2 linked regions of the Oreochromis niloticus genome follow. Each later gene encodes a partner of the first gene's protein in a complex. Links are inferred from orthologs where the notes say so. Each region holds a gene or a part of one and is shown in the gene's direction. Other genes may lie near its edges.

The links. The genes of interacting proteins can lie anywhere in the genome.
Region 2: ttf2 (region 1) and lg12h9orf78 share a complex: the UniProt entries of both Homo sapiens proteins name them as parts of the spliceosome. The link is inferred for Oreochromis niloticus from reciprocal best matches to the Homo sapiens genes TTF2 and C9orf78.

The regions. Positions count from the first base shown.
Region 1 is NC_031987.2:27,397,442-27,408,491, forward strand, and holds the start of ttf2 (transcription termination factor 2), read left to right. Parts: upstream 1-5,777; 5' UTR 5,778-5,877; coding exon 5,878-5,905; intron 5,906-6,118; coding exon 6,119-6,224; intron 6,225-6,496; coding exon 6,497-6,595; intron 6,596-6,705; coding exon 6,706-6,775; intron 6,776-7,293; coding exon 7,294-8,163; intron 8,164-8,982; coding exon 8,983-9,103; intron 9,104-9,383; coding exon 9,384-9,566; intron 9,567-9,670; coding exon 9,671-9,828; intron 9,829-10,573; coding exon 10,574-10,655; intron 10,656-10,867; coding exon 10,868-10,993; intron 10,994-11,050. Other genes in the region: cpap (centromere protein J), read right to left, coding at 1-36, 214-1,036, 1,341-2,084, 2,293-2,398, 2,494-2,638, 3,240-3,452, 3,571-3,697, 4,343-4,726. UniProt on the Homo sapiens protein: DsDNA-dependent ATPase which acts as a transcription termination factor by coupling ATP hydrolysis with removal of RNA polymerase II from the DNA template. May contribute to mitotic transcription repression. May also be involved in pre-mRNA splicing.
Region 2 is NC_031977.2:13,550,434-13,560,617, reverse strand, and holds the start of lg12h9orf78 (splicing factor C9orf78 homolog), read left to right. Parts: upstream 1-7,134; 5' UTR 7,135-7,213; coding exon 7,214-7,290; intron 7,291-7,450; coding exon 7,451-7,510; intron 7,511-7,616; coding exon 7,617-7,668; intron 7,669-7,787; coding exon 7,788-7,858; intron 7,859-7,939; coding exon 7,940-8,017; intron 8,018-8,439; coding exon 8,440-8,637; intron 8,638-8,801; coding exon 8,802-8,938; intron 8,939-9,018; coding exon 9,019-9,123; intron 9,124-9,871; coding exon 9,872-9,969; 3' UTR 9,970-10,184. Other genes in the region: gfpt1 (glutamine--fructose-6-phosphate aminotransferase [isomerizing] 1), read right to left, coding at 1,059-1,065; NFU1 iron-sulfur cluster scaffold homolog, mitochondrial, read right to left, coding at 2,214-2,249, 2,376-2,550, 2,668-2,731, 2,842-2,959, 3,053-3,119, 4,168-4,303, 4,542-4,642, 6,985-7,043. UniProt on the Homo sapiens protein: Plays a role in pre-mRNA splicing by promoting usage of the upstream 3'-splice site at alternative NAGNAG splice sites; these are sites featuring alternative acceptor motifs separated by only a few nucleotides. May also modulate exon inclusion events.

The DNA.
Region 1 (11,050 bases):
GTCTCTCCCTGAGCTGTCTCGACTGGATCTGCTGGCCTGAGGGCAACAACATGCATACACAACTGATAAATAAGAGGAATGTGTGGTTTTTAACTGGCTTTTCTATCAGTTTTTCATTTAATAAAGTTGCTGATATTTTGTATAAGTTTATTAACATTCAATCAACATTAATTCTACTAACGCAATAACAAACAAAGAAAGTGTTTGTCTAACCTGTATCCTCCTCTGGCTTTTTGGACTCAACAGAAGCAGCTGGAGGAAGAGGGAGTGGTGCATTCTGGGCTTTTGGCTTCAGGGAGGGGAATAACTTTGTCATGAGCTGGGAGGCAGGAGGATGATCAGGCTCCAGATTGACTGAACCGATACCTGTGGCCTTCCCCAGCTCCACACCTTTGCTCACAGCCACCTTCCTCAACAAAGTCTTCTGTGGGGGAGAAATTTCTCTGGCTGTCGGTTTGGAAATCGGACTGAGCTCTTTGCTTTCATCGGCTGTGCCGATGGCAGTGTCCTCCAGGTCGTTCCATGTGTCGTCATCATCAAACACAACTCTCCCCTGCTCGCCGTCTTTGCCCTCTATCAGAGTGGAGTCCTCCCTATTGCTGTGGACACTCTTACTCTCCACATCATCCTCTTCAGCCACATCTGAAGATGAGTCCCTGAAACTATCCTCATCTTCATACGACCGCTTGTCATATGGTGGGTTAATAGGTGCAGGGAAGCAGAGAGAACTTTTGACCACTTTGTCGTCTCCACATTCAGAGCGGCTGCAGGGTGTCGTGTCAGAGATGTCATGTTTGTCCTCTCTCTCAATGTCCTGTGTCTCCTTAATGCTCTCTTTGTTCTCTAGTATATCATTTCTTGTCTTTACAAATGCTTCTGAGTTCAAAGAGTTGCTTGCTAAGCCACCTGTGTTTCCAACACTATTGCACCTCTGAAATACACCTTTAGGAGGTGATTTAATGGGAGTTGAAGAGAGGCGTCGCTGGTGGAGCCCCTTCACAGTCTGCAGCTGTCGTTGTTGATCCATCTGAAGAACCTGCAAGGAATGAGCAGAGTAATAGTTTTCTGGAGAGAGGGGTTATGTCTACATAACACAAGACTAACAGTAAAGTCCTGGAGAAAGGCAACCCAATCTGGTAATTTCTTTAGAAATGCAATAGCAGATTTTGACCACTTGAGGGCAGCAGAAATACTGAATCCCAACAACACAAACAAGGAAACAGATACTACCAACACAAAAAACTGTGTGACAAAAAAAATTGTAACAGTAGGCATCCAAACATTCCAGCATTTGAAGTGTTGAATTAAAGCGTGATGAGTTGGTGAGTGAAATAGAGCACCTTCATGACAAAGGAGGAGTTAGATGAGAAGGACAGCTCTTCAGCCGCTTGCTCCAGCAGCTCAAACTCTCCCAGCTCCATGCTCTCCAGCTGTCGGTCGCACTCCCATCGCTGGAGCTTCTTCTGAAAAGACAACTCGAAGGAATCCTGTATAACTGGGTCTCCTCCTTTAGAAACCCCTCCTGCTTCTGCTAATTCCCCTTTTGAACCACAGCTTTTTTCATTTTCAGCCGCCCCTGCCTGTCCTAACTTCCCGCCCTGTTTGGTTGTAGGACACGGCTGAACATTGAGACAAGGGGCTTTCACGGCCTGAACTGACAGAACTTTCCCCAGCTGATGTTTGGCTGGTCTGCCACCTGGATCAGTTTGGACAGTCTCTGGTCCTGCTGTGTTCTGTCTCTGATGACTACCTAAAACCTTTGTCCGTGCTACTTTAGTCACTGCTCTCATATCGTGGGGTGGTGAACTGAGTCCCTTCAACCGGTTCTCCTTGTTGAGTGTAGCAGTTTTACGCTGGACAGGAAGCCGTGGGGCACTGTTTGCGGCTCCTTTCTGAATATATGTGGGCTCCGAGTTGCTGCGAGAGATTACTCTGGCTTGAGGCGGTGGTGGTCTGGAGTCCTTCTTTACATCTGTTTTTTGGAACATAGCTTTCCGATTATTTGTAAATCTCGAAAGGCCCTCTCCTCGCTTCAAGAAGGCTCTCTTAGGAGGGGCTTGCGCAGCGTTGGCTCCATCTCGACTCTGTTGAAGGAATAGGACAAGATTTGAATTCAATGTAAATTGGAATTTTTTTAGTTTTTCCAGTTAAATAAAGTATTTTATTGCAAAATACAGACAGGCTCCATTTGTGCAGACATTACATTCCTATATCAGGTTGTCACCTGCAGAATGCAAACTCAAATGAATGGTTCATTATTGATACTTTTCAGCACTCGACACATCCTCTGACCTGTTGTTGCTGGGCAGACTTTAGCCTCTGCTCCTCCAGCTTCAGCTGCTCCTCAAGCAGCTCCTCAAATGTCTGCTTTTGACCCCCAATACCTGGCCTTATAGGTCTGGAGAGGAGGCAAACAAAACCATACTCAAACACTGATCTGTCGAGACAGTCTGATGTTAGAACTACATAAATACAAGACTATGTATTATTTACCTGTCGTGAAAGACTTTGTCTTCTGTTCTGCTGTCGTCTTCAGTCCTTGCCACAGCATTATGTTCCATTAACGTGTCATCTTCCTCAGAAAAATGGCTCGCATTGACACTGTGCTCCTCCTCATCTTCTCTGGAGTCCAGTGAGCCTACAGAAACAAAGCGGTTAACCACTGAAAACATGTGAACCGTGTGATGAAAGACAGGGCAAATCCACACTGGCTGTTCTATAGAAAACACAAATACCAAGAAACTGTGGAAATGTCTTACTCTAAACCAGGGATGTCAAACTTGTTTTACATCGTAGGAGACATACAGCCCACTTTGATCTTAAGTAAACTGGAAGAGTGAAACTATATGACAGATATGTCAAATTATAGAAAATGTTTTGGAAATGTATAGCCCAGACTGTCCTGTAGTAATAAAATATCATGTCAAATTTATTCTTTACTGTGGACTACCTGCAAAAAAAAACAAAATGCATTTCTATGGTAGATAGTGTCATTCAATTGTTTATCTATTAGTTACCAACTTTTGTGTAGTATGAATGGACATGGAAGGGGTCTTTATAAATAGGAAGAGCTGTAAAACCTATGAAAATACAGTGAAATGATTCAAATCTAATGTACTCCTTCACATTTCACACATGTGAAGCTGTGCAGTGGGCCGGTTTGGAGTCTTTGGTGGGTCGATTCTGGCCCCTGGGCCTTACATTTGAAACTTACATTTAAAATATTAAATATATCTTACCCCCTTCCTCATCATCACCCTCCTCAGGTGCTTGACCTTTGGGTAGCTGCTCGTGTCTGACAACTAGTGAAAGTTGCTGTTCTGGTTGACGGCCAATCATAGAGCCCCGTGGGACTCCATGGTGGTTTGTATCAGGACTGTAAGAGCACTGTGTGTAACATGACCTGTGGAGCGTGTCCTCAACCCACTCTGGTCCGGACATTTCTGAACTCTCTGTAAGATGGGTTATCATCACTTCAGTTTATGAAACAGGACACATACTTGCACACCACATTCACCCTGAACTCAAAATGATCACTTCGCAGTTGTTCGTGTAATTTCACTCTCTGACCTCCTGTGCAGTGCTGGGATCCATTCAGCGTTCCCAGTAGCTTCTGCTGCTCTTCCTGGAGATGAAGCAGCTCCTCCAGCTGATGAGCTTTTAGCTGCTCCTGCATGTGCTGCTGCCATTTCTTTAACTGCACACACATATTGCATTAAATTCTAATTCGATATGTAGTTTAGCTTAGCTCCCACTATGTTTTTCAGATGGTTTAAGATACATTTAACCTAGATGTTTCTGAGTACCACTAGTTTCAGCTCAGTGTCAATCCACATGCGCTGCACATACTGCCATTTGACATATAGTCTAAGTGTTTAATTGCATCTGTGTCCCAGCCAACATAATTGCCTTAGGGAAAAACTCTATTAATAGCAGAGAAACGTAAAGGAGTGTGTGTGATGGAGGTGCATTAAGTATACAGGAAGCAGTGATGTAATCAACAATGAAGTCCACGCAGGGCCCAAAATTTGCATATATTAGGAAATCTGTGGCATTATAGTGTCCAAATGTTCTTACATTATTAATAAATAAATTATAGGTTCATTTTTTCTGCTTTGTCTCACCCCTGTATCTATAAACCAGTAAAACTAAAGATCCTCCCAGTATCTGTGTCATGTATGTTAGGTATTGAAAGTCCATCTCCTCAGATGCACAGCAGGGCTAGTCACATATGCCAAACATATGTTCTTGGTTTCACTAAGAATTTATTTTCTACTTTTAACAACTTGATTGTCTCAAGTTACAGGAGACAACTGCTTCTGAAAAGCACTGATGTCCATACCTGTTCAAGCTTCATCATAAGGGGCAGATCCTGTGATTTGCTTGCCATCTCGTCCAAAGTGTCCAGCTGTCCATCTGCAATTCTCGTCGGGACAGAGTTTAGACCGTTCACCGGCCTGTCAGACTCAGTCATCTCTCCTCCTGCTGCCCGTCTAAATGCATCCACACCGAGGCAGCTGCTGTCTGTAGAAGCGGGCAACGGGGCAAAGTCGGAAGCGAAGGAATCGTCTGGCAACATGGGCGACGATCCCACGGCAGAGGTGTGCCGCAAGGGTCCAGCCAAATCCGGAGAGGGACTGAGGATCACTCCGGCTCTGGTGCTACTTGGCATCCATCGGGCCAACAAGTCTGCCTGGGAGTACTGAAGGCCAGCTGGAGATGACATGATGGCTGCGATGTCGCAGGCAGGATAGTCTAATCCGGGATCTAAGAGAAAGATTATGGTGACAGGTTAAGGGTTAATCACGCCACGAATAAACACCGTCCAACACCCTATAGCTGACGCCCAGGTCCAATAAAGCTATACATAGGGACGTTATATATAGAAAAGACATTGCCTTTTTAATACGAGATTGGTTTCCGTCCTGGTTGCTACACAGAAGTCAGTTCCAGATATTTGGTTACGAACAATAATCTTAACAATGTCTATTAAAAAAAAAACATAGGAGAGAATGGTGGCATTTATGACATGTGGCTCACGTGGAATGTGGAAGTGCTCTTTTCATTTTCCTCAAATGTCGCTTTATTTAAAAGGCTTGGCTTCCTCGTCGACACTCTCCCGTTATTGGCAGGCTGCGTTTTATTTATTTCATAAAAACTTTTCCCGGATGTTACACTGTAGTGACGACACTACAACATTAACAAGCATCGCAAAACACATCGACATTACCTGTAACTCAGGAGAAAAGCAGGTTTACTGTGATGAAATCGGGCGTTATACAAAGGCAACAAACAAAAAATTCGAAGCCTGCCGCCATATCAAAACAAAGCCCGCGAGACCAAAAAACCCAACGATGAAGTTGTTGTTGCATTGTGGGTAACGTAGTCTTACATCACGCTGGTCCTAACTGTTTTTTAAATGTCTTTTTATTTCATAGAAATTATAAATAATGATTTTTATATACAAAACATACGTTTTTTAAACAGAAAAGTCACTTCTGCATACATGTATTAAAAAAAAAAATTTCTACGGAACAGGTTTACGGAAGTTCTCGGAACTAGCTTATATTATATCCGGTTAAAAGTTAAATATATTTCACAATAACAGTCATCAAGCAAATGCAATTTGGCGTTTGTTGAGTTTATTTTTTTAATATTGTTATGTATTTAATATTTATCGGTATTTAATGTTAATACATCATTATATATTATGTCTTTGTCCATCATAATACAATTTTGCTAAATAACTCGGACCTTGACTTTTATACTGACGTTTGCAGAGCGGATGTGTTATCCGAGAGCTGCGATTGGTCTATACAAAATACAGCCCTTCCCTTCACGTTCTAGTAACTGAACTGAACTAAATGTGTTGATAAAATGGAAAAGGTTGTATGTAGTATACACGGTAAGTGGTAATCGGTCAGTGGTGATTAATTATGTGTTATAAAATGGTAAACTGGATATTGTGTTTGATTTAAAGAGGTTATATTTGTGTTTTTATCCTGAGGACAAAAAAGGTTTGCTGCCCACATAGTTTAATAATTAGTTTAACCTTCGGTTTAAATATTCCGCACTTCGAGTTTTTACGTGTTTCTAAAGAGAGACCTTTTTGTCACAGGCGGCGTGTGTATGTTAAAAACCGGATTAAAAGACGGACCCAATAAAGGCAAGAGCTTCTACGTCTGCGTTGACAAGCAAGGCTGTGATTTTAGTCAGCAAACCAGGTATTCCCCCGATGACAATAGGCCTCTGTATTTTCAGACCTGAACCATTCATTGACACTGTGTTTGAACCAAATAATAGTCTCTTAACTATTCACTGGCCATATCCTTACATTGCTTTTGTTCCATTCATCTCAGTAGCCAACTTTACTATACTCACTGGCCCTCTCCAAACATCTGAGGTTATTCACTGACATATTGTTAAAGTTATTGATAAACAAATGTGTGTGTTGCACAAATATTTGTTTTATTGATGTGAATTATCATATCTCTAGCATTTCACCATCACACTGCCTCCATCATGAAGATTCAATGGTGGAACTCCAGGCTCTCAGCTACAGTCAGCCACAGCAGGGCTATAGGTGTGTGTGTATGTATGTATTAGAAAGAAATCTGAAATTGCATGCTTATACGCAGCTTATATGACTAGATACCAGGTTGGTTAGACTCTGTATTTAACTGCAAATTCCTTCTCGTTTTCCAGGTTGTTCTACCGATGTGCAGTAGGTAAAAAAGCAGGCCAGAGGTGGTGTGGAAATGTACCCTGGACTGCAGTAAGTGCTGTCACAGATTTCCCAACACACACTTGTTTTTTTATATACATTCAGTATCTGTATCACCAACGGTTTCTGGCCATCGCATTGAGACAGTTATTAAAGATAGTTTTTAGTTATTAAAAATGCGGTTAAAGTTTTAAGTTAGTGTTCTCACTACTCCACTAATAATTAAGCTTGTATGAATTAGTCAATTCATTGGTCAGTCACTCAAAACAAAAGTAATCCTTACCTCTTTTGTATTTGTTGTTTTTTGTTGTTTTTTTCTTTAATGCTGTGTAACTGTAAATGTTTTACGGTTTTCCTGGCGTATGCATTGATTAATACATTTATTATGTAAACAATCATAAGTTGCAGCCTTAAATAGGATGTAGCTAAATGGTATGAACAAGTATTTTTCCTATTCTGAACTATTTACTTTTTTTAAACACCACATGAGGGATTAGCTGTTATTAGACACTTTTCTGTAAATTTCTATGACATATTTTTTTAAAGTGTGTTGTCTTCCATGATTGCAGCCGGAAACAGAAAAGAGAAGCCCTCTGTCTGACACACAGCTACAGCCCTCATGTCTTCCACCTGTACGAAACCCCTTTAAGGCACCAAGCCAGGCAGACAAGGACTCTGAGTGGAGAAAGTTGCAGAACAATAGACATGAAGAGAAAGAAGCAAGTCACAAGGCTGAAGGAAGAGCAAGTTATCAGAAAGAAAATGAAAGGCAACAAGGTGCAGGAGTGGAAGAAAAGGCAGATGATAAGCACAGGTCGTCGGATACTTACCGGGGTAAACAACTTCCACTGGGGATGAAGTTAAAAAAGAGAGTTTCAAATGAGGAGAACAACAGTCCCAAAGAAAACAGTGTTGAAAAAAGAACCGAGAAGATTCAAGACACGCCCGAGCAGAACCGCATCAAGCAAGGAGAAGAAGAAAAAGGCATTTCTTCCTCCAGCGTCAAGACTGTTCATTCTGAGTCATCAAACAAACATCAACTCAAAACAATCAATCAAACTGCACCAGTTTCTCACAGGAACTTGACTCAGCAACCATCTGATGCCGAAACCTCTCAGGTGAAAGAAACCAAACAAATACTAGAAAAGAGCAGCTGCACCCATGCATCCAGAGACTCTGACAGCAGCAGGAGCCCCATACCTGACAAACCAACTCAGTCAGAGTCCAGTCAGCCCAACAGTCCCGAAAACAACGACGATGATGATGATGTGGTACTGGTGTCTGTGAAGCCTGCTCCGCAGAAGACTCCTCCTGTTTCTACTGTCCAAAAGACGCTGACCAACTTCCCAGGATTCCAGCCAGCTTCTAACATCAAAAAGCCGGTGGAAAACCCCAAAGGGCTGCAGAACCTGCTCACCGTTCAGCTCCAGCAGAAAAAGGTGAGGGGAAGAGGAGACAACACATGTCATGCATGAGCACTGCATTGATTTAAAACCTAACATACAAATATTATTATAATATTTAAAAAAATATATTATATGCATGTCAAACATGTCCGCATTAAGAAATCTGTTAATTAACCGCCCCGATATACTCATATCAGTCACTCTTAGGCTGCGTTTCCCAAAACACCGAAGAATATTTGTAGTACTTGTAATTATATCATAGTAAATAATCTGCAAGCTCTCAGAATGTACTTTTCTCTTTAAATGTTAAAGTTGACACTGTTAGCTACACTAGCTGACAAAGTAGGCTGAGGTAGCTGTTAAGTACAGTTTAGTTTACAAGTCCAGCAATGTGATTTATCATTGGGCTGATATCTAATTGGCTGGTATTAGCTAACTGCTAACAGCCCATAAATAAAAGTGGGGGGAAAAAAAGACCAGATGGAAGAAACGCCTTTCAACCTTGTTATAAGTTGATCAGGACAGAGCATAAAGTAAACAAGATAATCAATGACCAGGCACAACTAATGTTAGGAAAATCTGTTGAGTTTTTGGAAAAGAATACAATTAAATGGCCAACTGTCAGTATCAGCATTAAAAATCCTGCATCAGTCGGGTTGTATCTTAATCGGTCAGTCAACTAGTACACAGAAAATTGGATTAAGAGTTTGCTGGTCAGTAATCAACATCCAAAATCAAAATTCACTTTACACATTCCAGTACTGTATACATCACAACAACAAATACTACAGAGCAGCTGGTTAGTTTAATACTCAGGCTTATGAGAGCTCTTTGTCTTCACTCTGTCCTCAGGCCACTCTATCTTCGGTAAACTTGGAGGCGCTACCAGATAAAGGAGACAGGTTGAGGACACAGGTTAAAGAGCTGGAGGAAGCCCTGGAGTCACTGAGCCTCACTGCTGCTTCTCAGCCTGGTAGGAGTCACACTGCACAATAGAAATAGATGGTTTATTCAACTGCTTATTAGTTATTCCACTATGTACCCCAGCTATACTCCCAGTTAAGCCCTTATGCATACATGGGCAAAACCTTGAGAGACTTTTTTTTGTTGTTGTTGTCTTAGTAAGTTGCTGTGTAATTTGATGTTCTTTGATATTCTTTCTGTCCCTGAAAAACACACGTGCAGGCGAAAGTGTAATAATAAAACCAACAAGGTTTTTTAGATTTGGCTGGATGTCTGTGTCTCCCTTTCAGAGTCTGAGAAAGCGTGTAGCAGCACTGATTCTGGTTTCAGCACCACTCAGATGAATCCATTCAGCCGGCAGGGTGGGACCATCCTGCTCCCTGCTCCTCCAGCCCCAGCCCTGCACCATCATCAGGCCTCTGGTGGCTCTCTGGGGCTCCAGCTGAGCCAGGGATACTCTCAGATGTATGGAGGTATGCCAAATAGGAAAGAGAAACACTTCTATAAAATGTGTAATCATTTTTTTAAAACTTGAAATTAATATAGATTGCTAATCACTCATCCTTAATGTTTCCAGCATACCCACAGGCACAGACATTTTATGGGGGTAGAATGACCGACGACCGTCTTCTGGCGGTGAAAAATGCCACCTGTGAGGCCATCGACCATCTCCACAAGTCCCTGGAGTCCTGTCCTGATGCCGAGGCTGAGGCCCCTGATCCCAAGGGTATCAAGGTGTTACACACTGCCTCACTCACTACTGTGGCAAAAAAAAAATCCGACAACAACGGCTACGTTTTCACAAAAACTTCAAAAATAAAGGAAACTCATAGCAGCACTCAGATATTCTGACTGATTACACAAGGCTTTAGTTAAACTGCAAGCTTTAGTGCTCAGCTCTGTCAGTCAATGGTTACATTTTGGTTACGTTTTAAGGTGTTGTGATATAGAAGATAGTGGATGAGAGACAACTCCTAGCAGGAGAGGTTGAACTGTTACACAAATAGTTTCACCAAAAAGCATGATCCAAAATTTCAAGATATGAAACCCCACTTTTAAATTCATCTATCAGCACTTTTTACAAGACACTCAGCGCCATCTTTACTCTGATTTGACTGCTCAGACTGAGGCTGTACTGCATAAAAAATACCTGGTGTCTGACTGAGTGCCATTTATTTACTCCTCATTTTAAGGATGGTTTTCTGCTTCTAGTATTGCAGCAACATTTTAAGGTCAGCTTTAGAAATAGAGCATCCAATTTTAGCTCAGAGTTTTACATTATTATGCTCTAAGAAATTGCATCTGAATATAATCTTTATGTGTCCATATATTTTAATTCGTAGAGTATTTCATTTTTGCATCAAAACATTTTCTTTTATTCACAAAACTGTCACAATTTAGAATGATACAGCCTATATTTCCTCTTTTGATTGGACGATGATGTTAGTCTAAGATTGCTGCATTGTGATTGGTTGCTCAGGTGCCTCTCCTGCCCCATCAGAGGAGAGCTTTGGCCTGGTTGCTCTGGAGAGAAACGCAGAGTCCCTGTGGAGGAATACTGGGTGAGTGTTTTTTCATGTGATTTTCTTCCTCTGTTTAAAGTTGGAATTAAGCCCGTGGGGTCTGTTTGTTACATTTAATTTGCTATTCTATGTACAGAAATGGTCTCCTCAGGCCAGTCAGTTTGCTCACATGACAAAGAGAGGAACACCTCGCTTCTTATCATTTCTTCATCTTTTTTCTAGTATATCTCATTTGTATTCTTTTTAATCAGCGGATGACATGGGTCTGGGGAAGACCTTGACAATGATTTCTCTCATACTGGCCATGAAGATGAAGGCAAAAAAGGACAAGGAGGAGATGGAAGAGAAGAAGAAGGATAGCTGGTTATCCAAAACTGGTAACGAGAACCTTTTGTCACTGACTCAGTGGGTCAAATATAATCCAGCTAAATAAA
Region 2 (10,184 bases), on another chromosome or scaffold:
AAAAGGAGTGGGCATAAAGTGCAGCCCTGTCACAGGGCTAAACACTAACCAGTGGATATCCTGGCTCAACAGAGCATTCATTCAGAAAAGCAAGTGATGGAGGTGGACACTGAGGGGCAAAGCGAGACAAAAGGGACCTTTCTGCAAATAATCAGTGCTTAATGGTTAACCTAAGCAAAGTGGCACCTTACTGTGACAAGAGATATTGATAGCAAGGTGGTTTGGTTTTGGAAGTGCTCTGATTGTGATAACAGTGAGAGAAAACAGATGTCAGGTATCAATCACAGGACTGAGATAGATGGAGACAGCGGAGATAGGACAGGATTAGAAAGCATCAAACTGATTATGACCACTGGCGTCATGTAGACAGTGAAAGACTGACGTTAATTCACAGCGATACACCAACATTATATAGTACAGTATTCACTAAAGCCTTTGGCACTCTTTTAAAGGGTTGACTCAATTTGACTATTTTTTTTAAAAACATATTTGATTTTATGTTTTGTTTATGCTATTTGTATATGTACAGCATTTTGTGAACCCTGGTTTATATGTTAAAGTGCTTTATAAATAAAGATGGTATGGTATTATCCCAAAGAACACAGTTCATCTAGTTACACTTTCGTTTTTTTTCATAATAACAACGAGTGTAACTCGTTTTCAAACGTCTCTGTCACAGTCATCTAGATCCACAGACCACAGTAACAGACAGAGATTTAGCTACTGGAAACTTACTCGATGGGTAATAACGTCGTAAAGCAGGTTACCATTTTAATGTCGCACTCAAATATCGACCCCGCTGCTTGATCGTGTTATCCCAGATCAAGCAGCTTTCAGAGTAAAACGAAAAAACACAGACCGGTTTATATTTAGCTGGCTAGCAACATCATGTTGGCCATACAATACTCACTTTAGCCTCCCCTAGCTCATTTCCAGCATTTATCCTCAAACTAACAAGGCAATAACTGAATAACTATTCAGCTAGCTATTCTGGTGAAACCTGAACCACATACATTCAGCGCCGATTAATATAAGTATAGAATAAATGCAATACTCACCACACATGGCTACAGTTCTGCTGCCAGTTACAGCTACTCTGAAGTCGGTAGCTGGGAACGCCTGTCAATAAGCTCCGCCCCCGATGGTTCCTATGAATCATAGCCAACCGCGTTCTTCCATGGCGTCTTCTGATTGGTCAGGAGGTCTGTCGATTCCGGTTGCGCCTACAGACGTACGCACTTCTGACGTGGCATAAGGATGCGATTCGCAGCCGGAACATCCTGCAGATCCTGCTGCTGCAAGAGTCAACATCGGCCCACAATGGAAGGCCTGTGCTTTCTACTGGCCGTGGAAGGAAAATATTGCTAAAAATGCTCAAAAGACAGGAGCCTGTGTATGCTCTGGCAATTTTAGAATTACTGAGGTACAACGTCCCTCAGAAATCCACCAATTCTTTTGAAAATGTTTATATGCAAAATTGCCTTTTATAGTTTTTGGCCTTACATAGTTTAAATGGTCCATATAATTTTAGTGGAAAATACCCACTTTCTATTTTTCCTTCTTCTTTTGGTCGCTCTGCTCATGAGTCACCACCCTGGATTTTCTGCCTTCATCTCACCTTATTGGTACCCTCCTCTTATGCCGCACCAACCCTCTGCATGTCCTCTGAAGTCCTCTTTTCCTCTTGCCTGGGAGCTACATCTTCAACAACCTTTGTTCAATATATACACAATCAGTCCTCTCGTGTTTCAACTGCTCAACTCGAGGTGTCCCCCTGACGTACTCATTTCTAGTCCTGGCCATATTGGTCATTCTCAATGGAAATCTGAGCATCTTCAACTAGGCCACTAGTTGGAACACTTATGTACACAAAGGAGACAAATGGTCACAAAATATTATAACAAACTTTATTTATACACATACAGTATACTGATTTTAAACCTAAAAGGCTGCTTTGCTTGCTTGACAGATGTGGAGTAATAAATAAATTATTTCAGTCAGCTGTTCCTGTGACTGGGCTATTCTTGTTAAATACTGTCACTGTACAGAAAACATCTGGGAAACAACACATATGAGATTACATCTGAATGGATAATGGTGATTGTTTCTTTCACACAGCTGTGCTATCAAACACATTATTTTATTGCAACTATTGCTTGCATTAAAGTCGGCAGCTGGTAGAGACAGGAATGTGTACATATGATTTCAGTGGTTCAGACTTGAGCAGCCTCCTCCTCCTCATCCTTCACCTGGAAGACATACATAAAAGCTCTTTACAGCTCAAGTGCTGAACATGAAATATAAATCAAGATGTCAGGATTAACATCTTAAAAATTAACAGTGTTCTAAAATCAAATGAGAGAAAGACAACAAACCTGTTCCACTGATTCAACCTCAGGTACATAAAATTGTAGCATGTTTTGGATGCCACTCTTCAAAGTCACAATTGAACTGGGGCAACTGGTGCAAGAGCCCTGCAGCTTGAGTTTAACAACGCCATCTTCAAATCCGCGGTATAGAACATCTCCCCCGTCCTCTTGCACAGTTGGCCTGACCGAGTGAGAACATTGACTGGTATTAGGCAAAAAAACAAAAAAAAACAAAAAAAAAACAAAGCACAGGAAGCAACAGGCCCTGAGATCATACTGCATCTTCATGAGTAGTTACCTTATTCGAGTATCTAGTAGTTCTTTAATCATAGCAACTACCTCGTCGTCATCATCTGATGGTGCTGAAAGGAGAAGCAGAGATTGTTGTTCCTCAGCATTCAAAGCAGCTTGTTATTTCTGTCCAAGTCGATGTTTTGATAATGGGCAGGCCACAGCTGTTTGAAAACCATACCTGTATCTGGGCTTGGCTGGCTGTCCTCGTTTACAACAGGAAGCCCGGAGGTAAAAAAGTCCATAATGGTAGCAAACACATCAGGCTTAATTACCTTCCATTCCAAATTTGGGTCGGCCTAAATGAAGAAGGACGAGAAACCAAGCTATTCTTAGTTGTGGTATGCCAAGCTGTGCCAGTACCAATTCTTACAAACTGGACATGGCTTTACCTTCGTTATGGTAATAAAGTCAGGGCCCAGGAACACACTCTTCACTCCATCGATCCTAAACAGCTGCCTGAAGACAATCACTGAGGTTTTATTATGCCACACTTAAAGATAAATTTTACACTTAATACAGGAGGTCGTGCAATGTTTGTAACAAATAAATACACACATATAGACATGCAAATTGTGTTCAGGTACCAGTCACATTTATTAACATAATATTTTAATGGGAATAGAATTAGAAAATAATATTTCTGTTCAAAATTGCTAGGTAGAGGTAAAAGCGTTACACTGAGGATCCGAATCAGCAGCGTGCTGGGCTGTGAGAAGAGAGGTCTACTGTTTCTGTGCATAACAGAGGTTACACCTTTTTTTTTAATATTTGGTAAGAGTAAATGCTGCCTTGGTTACTGCCCTACCAACAAGGCATGTACCGGTAAATCAATCTTGTCATGTGACTAGCAGAAGTCAAACTATTAATCCATTCTTCTTCTGGCTGCTCCTTTTAGTTTTTGCCACAGTGGATCATCTGCCTCCATTTCACTCCATCGTTCTCCACTGTCACACTAATGTCCTCCTACATGACATCTACCAACCTTCTCTGGAGGTCCACCTATTTTCCTCCTGCCTGGAAGCTGTATATTCAAAACCCATTGTCCAGCATATCCACCATCACTTCTCTGCACATGTCCAGACCATCTCAGCCTTGCCTGGCTCTCCAACTTTGTGTTTAAACTGCTCAACCTAAGCTGTCCCTCTGACATGCTCATTCTGATCCTGTCCATCCTGATCACTCTAAATAAAAATCTTAGCATCTTCAACTCTGTCATCTCTGGGTTTTTTTGTTTGTTTTTTTTTGTCAGGGTCACTGTCTCCAAATCATACATCATAGCAGGTCTCACTACTATCTTGTAAAATGTCTCCTTCACTCTTGCTGCTTTTCTTCTGTCACAAATCACCCACTCATCTCCATCCACTCCACCCAGTCAGTTATTCACCTGTCTTGTGCACTGTCCAGCGCACTGACTGCATGTATTTAAACTCATTTACCTACATCTGCTATGCTAAGATGACTGTTTCACATCAGGCATTTCTCTCAGACCAGTAATCTCACATACCTGGCTAGAGGTGAGCAGTGTGCCTCACGAGGGCCGGCAAAATTCATAGTTCCTGTTTCAAGAACTGTCCGGCCAGGCAGGAACTTCATGCTGTTTGGATTTGGTGTATCCTGGGTCTGCACAAACATGGTTCTTCCTGGGCAGAGAAAAAACAAAGAAGAAGAATGCAACATAAATCACCTGTTTTCATTACACGGTGTCCTTATTTTGTGCAGCAACTCTTTACTTTATTGAACTGCAAGGCTAATGTCACATGTCCTACAGGCACCTGCTCAAACAACAGCTGCATCTATTGGGTTCAAGACAATCACTCCAGTATAAACACATTCAATGTTACACATGTGATTATTATGGGAAGCAACAGGAATACAAACCAGGAACAATCCAGATGGGGTTTGAGGGCCATCTGTTCGAAACTCCTGTGGTATGTGAAGGCAAGTGTAATCCAGTGCTCTGAAACCCACTGACAGCAAGACTGAAAAATGCAGCAGATTAAGACATTTAATACAACGCAACTCACACTGATAAATGAATGGTGTTAGAAATCCAAATGTCAAGCACCCGTGTCAGCCCACTTCATCTAATGCCTTCCTCTCTGGAGTGGTAAAGTACTGACTTCAAAACATGAAGGTGTGGTGAGACTAATCCACTAAAATGATTTGGTGCACAGTGTTTGTACAACTAATAATTTGTAGCCGAGGTATTACAAACTGTTGCATAAGGCAACATGTAAAACAAACCAAAGGGGTCATGCAGAGCTTAAAGCGTTACACTGTGCAGTCAGTATTTGTCTTACTTTAGCCAAGAAGAAATCATTTCACTGACAACTAAACATGTTTTTTTTCTTTATAAGACATTTGATTTACAAAATAGAAAACACAGACAAACATAGTACAATTACAGGGAAAAATGGCACAGTATATGATATGCAAGGAAAGTGGACAATAGCAGAAATCTGCCCGTTACTTTTATTTGGTGTTTGATGTGCCAGAACCTGCTGTTCTGCTGGGATTTTCCTAAACAACCATATTTAATGTTTAAAGAGAATTGTCAGAAAGAGAGAAAATATCTGGTGAACAATGGTTCTCTGGGGTAAAGCACACTGTTAAGGTCAGAGGTCAAATGAGAATGAACCTGAGCTGATACAAAGTCAAACGCAAATAACAACTTATTACAACAGAAGAGCTTATCCAAATGCAAGACACATTGAAGCTTGAAACAGATGGGCTACAGCAGCAGAAGACCACACTGGGTGGCACTCCTGTCTGCTAAGAACAGGAAACAAGATACTATTTACACTACCTGGTCTCATGAATTTCAATTTCTTTTTTTAAACAATGTCTTTTTATTAAGAGTTTTTCTTTGTACATATAAACAAAAAGAAAAGGATTACAGTTGATCTGTACATTCGGGATGAATTTCAATTTCTGCTGCGATATTTGGATAGTACGGTCGGATTTGTCATGGCTCCATCCTGCCTTGTATCAATGGTTTAGCCTTCAGGTAGTGTAGCAATCGTGCAAATTTTTTTCTTAGTATACTTTGAGCCCCTTATTTCCATCTGAGGATAAATTGGGAATAAGTGGAATGACATGCTGCTGACCATGTCCATCCCTTTGTGACCACAGTTAGCCTGTTATAAAGGCTTGCTTCTTTAACCCTTTATTTACAAGTGCTCTTTAAATGACAGTAACTATTTCCATTTTTGCTAAAGACATAATTCAAATGGTTCCAGAAGAAAGAGAAAACGGGCTTAATGGGATACTTAATTTATCATGGTAGGACAGGAAATTCACAAGGTAAAAAACAAACAAACAAACAAACAAACAAACAAACAAACAAACAAACGGCCTAAATTTTACCATGTGAACTTCACATTGCCTTAACTCCTCAACCATTTTGGTCATGTCATGAAGAATTGAGGCAGTTCTTAAGGCAAAGGGGGTCAAACCCAGTACTAGAAAGACGTATGTAATGACATGTCTGAGTGTATAAGACCGTAGAAACACCAGCAGAAACAGAGTAATTGTGAGACATTGTCTCTTATGGACAGTTATTTTAGTTTTGCCTTTTGTAATTAATTGTTATTTATATTTCATTTTGATGTTTTAATTCAGTTTAGTTTGAGTTAGTTTACAAAGTGAGTTTCCTCGTTTCACTTCTTTTTTGAAAATGTTTAGTTTTAGTTTAACTTGTGTCTTAGTTTTAGATTGTTTTTTTTTAATCACTTATTGAATTAAGGGCATGTGTTGGAGGCAAGATTTAGTAAAACCAGCACAGTTATAAACTTCCTAGGTCTAAATAAATATATCTATCAAAACCTGATAAGGCAGCATTAACAATTAAAAACAAAACAAACAAAAAAAACAACAACAAAAAAAACAAAACAAGCTAAGCGATACTAAAACATGTAATACTTTTGTTTAACTATAATAACTTATGGATATGAACTGTCGACAGTAACGGTGTCGCTGTGTACACCTCAGGATAATTCAGAAAAAGCAGATTAGAATCGGGCTAAAGTTTTAGCACTTATGCAACAAAACCAAAAACATTTTTTAAAGTTTGAAAAGGTTTGTCGTGGTTGATACTGACCACTTTAAAGTGTTAATAAGCGGCTGGTGGAGACGCTTAACGCAGTAAAACATCCCCACACCTCCCTGCTCTGTAGCTGACTGTCTGCGTCACTCCGCCGTTTAGCCAGCGTGCTACCATTAGCCTGACCCTGATGCTTAACATGCTGACGCATTCATGCACACATGATATAAAGCAAAAACAGAAAACAATGCAGATAAAGATAAATACAAAACCACTTACGGACGAGAAAGTCTTCCTGAAATACCCAACAATCTGCCGACCTGCCTGTAAGTCGCCATGTTTGTTATGGTTATCTAAACAGGACGGAAGTGGCGCGGTAAATAAGGGGACGTGACGCACTATTATTGTACATTTGTTAAATCGTCCCCCCTCTTATCCCAGCAGTAGCTACACTCAAGTGCAGCTTCTAGAAAAGTCTGAAATAATTTTGTGTAGTATCTGAAAAAAAATGCCGTGTGGCAAAAATTTTAGAAGGAGAAAGGACTCGTCCGATGTGGAGGAGGATGAGACCACCGAAGAAGTCAGGTAGAGCCGTCTGTTTAACCACAGGAATAAAAAAAAAGCCGTTTAGAGTAATGCTATGCATGCTAATGCTAATCGCTAAACGCAGATAGTTTGTTGTCGCATTTTATATAAGCTGCCCAGGTAATGTGTTTGCAATCGTTTGTGTTTCATGGATGTTTAGGCATAAGTTAGAAGAGGCTAAAGAGCTACAAAGTCTGCGCAAACGACAGAGCGGAATCAGGTAACGTAAATAAATCAAACTACGAACACGTTTCATCCTGTTACTTTACATGAAGTTTTACACAGTCAGATACCGAATCACAGTTTTTTATATTTCTTTTATTTAGTGTGACCGCCTTGTTGGTTGGAGAAAAACTTCCACCAGAGGCTGAAATTGAGGTAGGTAGTCAGTTTTGTAAAATTTATATTTTTTTAAAATTGTAATATAGCTTCATTAACCAAGGTGTTTTGGTTTTTGAACTTACGTTTATTAAAATTATTTTGATTATTCCTCACAGAATGACCCATTTAAACTGAAGACTGGGGGAATTGTTGACATGAAGAAAGTGAAAGACAGGAATAGAGACATGTAAGTGAGTTTTTAACTATTTTTAGCATAATTGCTCTACGCTGTGCATTGATATGTCATCATTTCATGTTATGTATTCAGGACAGAAGATGAGACAGACCTCAACCTGGGGACGTCTTTTTCAGCCGAGACAAACAGAAGAGACGAGGATGCGGATATGTATGTGTGCTTTTTTTCTTTTTTGTTGTCCCATCCCCTTACTCATATTATGTATAAAGACACGCTTTCACCCTCTTCCACTTTGGTAACAAGAATGTAATGACTTAAGTAAAAGAAATGGGTTCAACCCAACATGTAAGTCTATCATAAAAGCAGACTTTTTTTTCCTGACACTGACATGTAAAAATCTAATGTAGCTGAAATTATTTTATTTTATTTTTTTTAAATTGACAGCATTTTGTGTTGGTCAAATAGTTCCAGTTATAAGGGGGATTTGATTCTGATTCTTTTCCCTCCACTTTAGTTAGATATAGCACAGATTACATAGAAGAGACATTTCAAATCCCCAGCATTTAGGACAGAATTCGAGATACCCTCACACTTGTTTACAACATGGTTTTATCATAAATTTATCCTCACAGGATGAAATATATTGAGACGGAACTAAAAAAGAAGAAGGGCCTGGTGGAGGCTGAGGAGCAGAAAGTTAAGGTGAAGAATCCAGAGGACCACCTGTATGAGCTGCCCGAGAACATCCGAGTCAATTCTGCCAAGAAGACAGAGGAGATGTTGTCTAATCAGATGCTGAGTGGCATCCCTGAAGTTGATCTTGGCATTGAGTATGTACTGAGAATATTCTAGTAATCATCTACACTTATTTTAGAATCAGCAAGAGGAGTCTTTTGACTAAAACTGCATTTTTGCATGAGATATGGCATGAACGAATACTGCTTTTTATTAATAGCTTTACTAATAAAACTTGTGTATGTAATTTCTTTTCTAGTGCAAAGATAAAGAACATCATCCAGACAGAGGATGCAAAAGCAAAACTTTTGGCAGAACAAAGAAACAAGAAAAAAGACCACGGCACATCATTTGTACCCACGAATATCGCTGTTAACTACGTCCAACACAATCGATGTAAGTAATCTGAAGAGAGCGAGATATTCCACACCTAAATTAAAGCAGATAATACTAAACAAACTGACTTTTTCTTTCAGTCTATCATGAGGATGCAAATGCACCGCAGAGACACCATAGACACAAAGAAGAACCCAAAGCAAGACCGCTGCGTGTGGGCGACACAGAGAAACCAGGTCCAGAGGGTAAGAGACTCTACAGATACGCTCACTGCTCAGTACATAGTAATAGTTTACAGCTGGATAAACAAAAGAAAATGGGTGGGTGGAATTACCTCGGCGAGCGGGCAGTATGGACACTCGGCTTTGTGAACATGATAACTTGAGAATGAAGCAATGTTGGATTTTCAAATTGATACCATAGGTGCATCTACTATAACTCTTGGATGAGTTCAAATATTGGTGACCCTGACTTTGAGATCAAAGTCAGAGGTCAAGTTTTCTGAAAATTATCTTAGGAATTTGGAGATTTTATCATCTCCAGTACATAATGACAATAATTTCACAGAATCAAGAGAAATCTCTGCACACGAAGGGAGAAGGCTGTGACCTTCAGACCCTCATGACACAATAAATTAAAAACAGGCATGAATCTGTAGTGGAAATGACTGCATGGACTAAAACACTTCAAAAACATTGCCAACTCAAAATTTAATAAAGTCTAAGTTGAAGTGGAAAACTGTCCTGTGGGCCAGACCTGTCAGAATGTGAAACTGTTGTTTTAAGTCACTGACACTTGTGCATTTCCAAAAATAATATTTCTCAGTTTCAGGATTTTCTTCGTTTTATCCAAGCTAGATAGAAACTGTATTGCAGTCACTGCAGTTAATTTACTTTCAATGGCTTCCCCATTTACTTGTGTGTCTGTGTGGGGATTTATTCAAAATCTTTTGAAACCTTTAATCTGATTTCGAACTTATTTGTTCATCCACAGCTCCGTCACCACCAAACTACCGCAAACGTCCAAACAATGAGAAGGCTACAGATGACTACCACTATGAGAAGTTCAAGAAGATGAATCGGCGATATTGATGAGATGGATATATATAAACATTTTAAACTCAAGATTCATTTGAGGACCCCAAACGGCTTTTAATGGCATAGCTCTAACATCAGGGCAACACTGTGTAATTATTGTATATAGCTCCTGCTGTTTGTCTGTATACAATACAGTTGTTAATGTCTCAGATGATTTCTTTTGCTCAAGATTGTCTTAAGTTTAGACAGGAATACGCTAAGGATGCAGG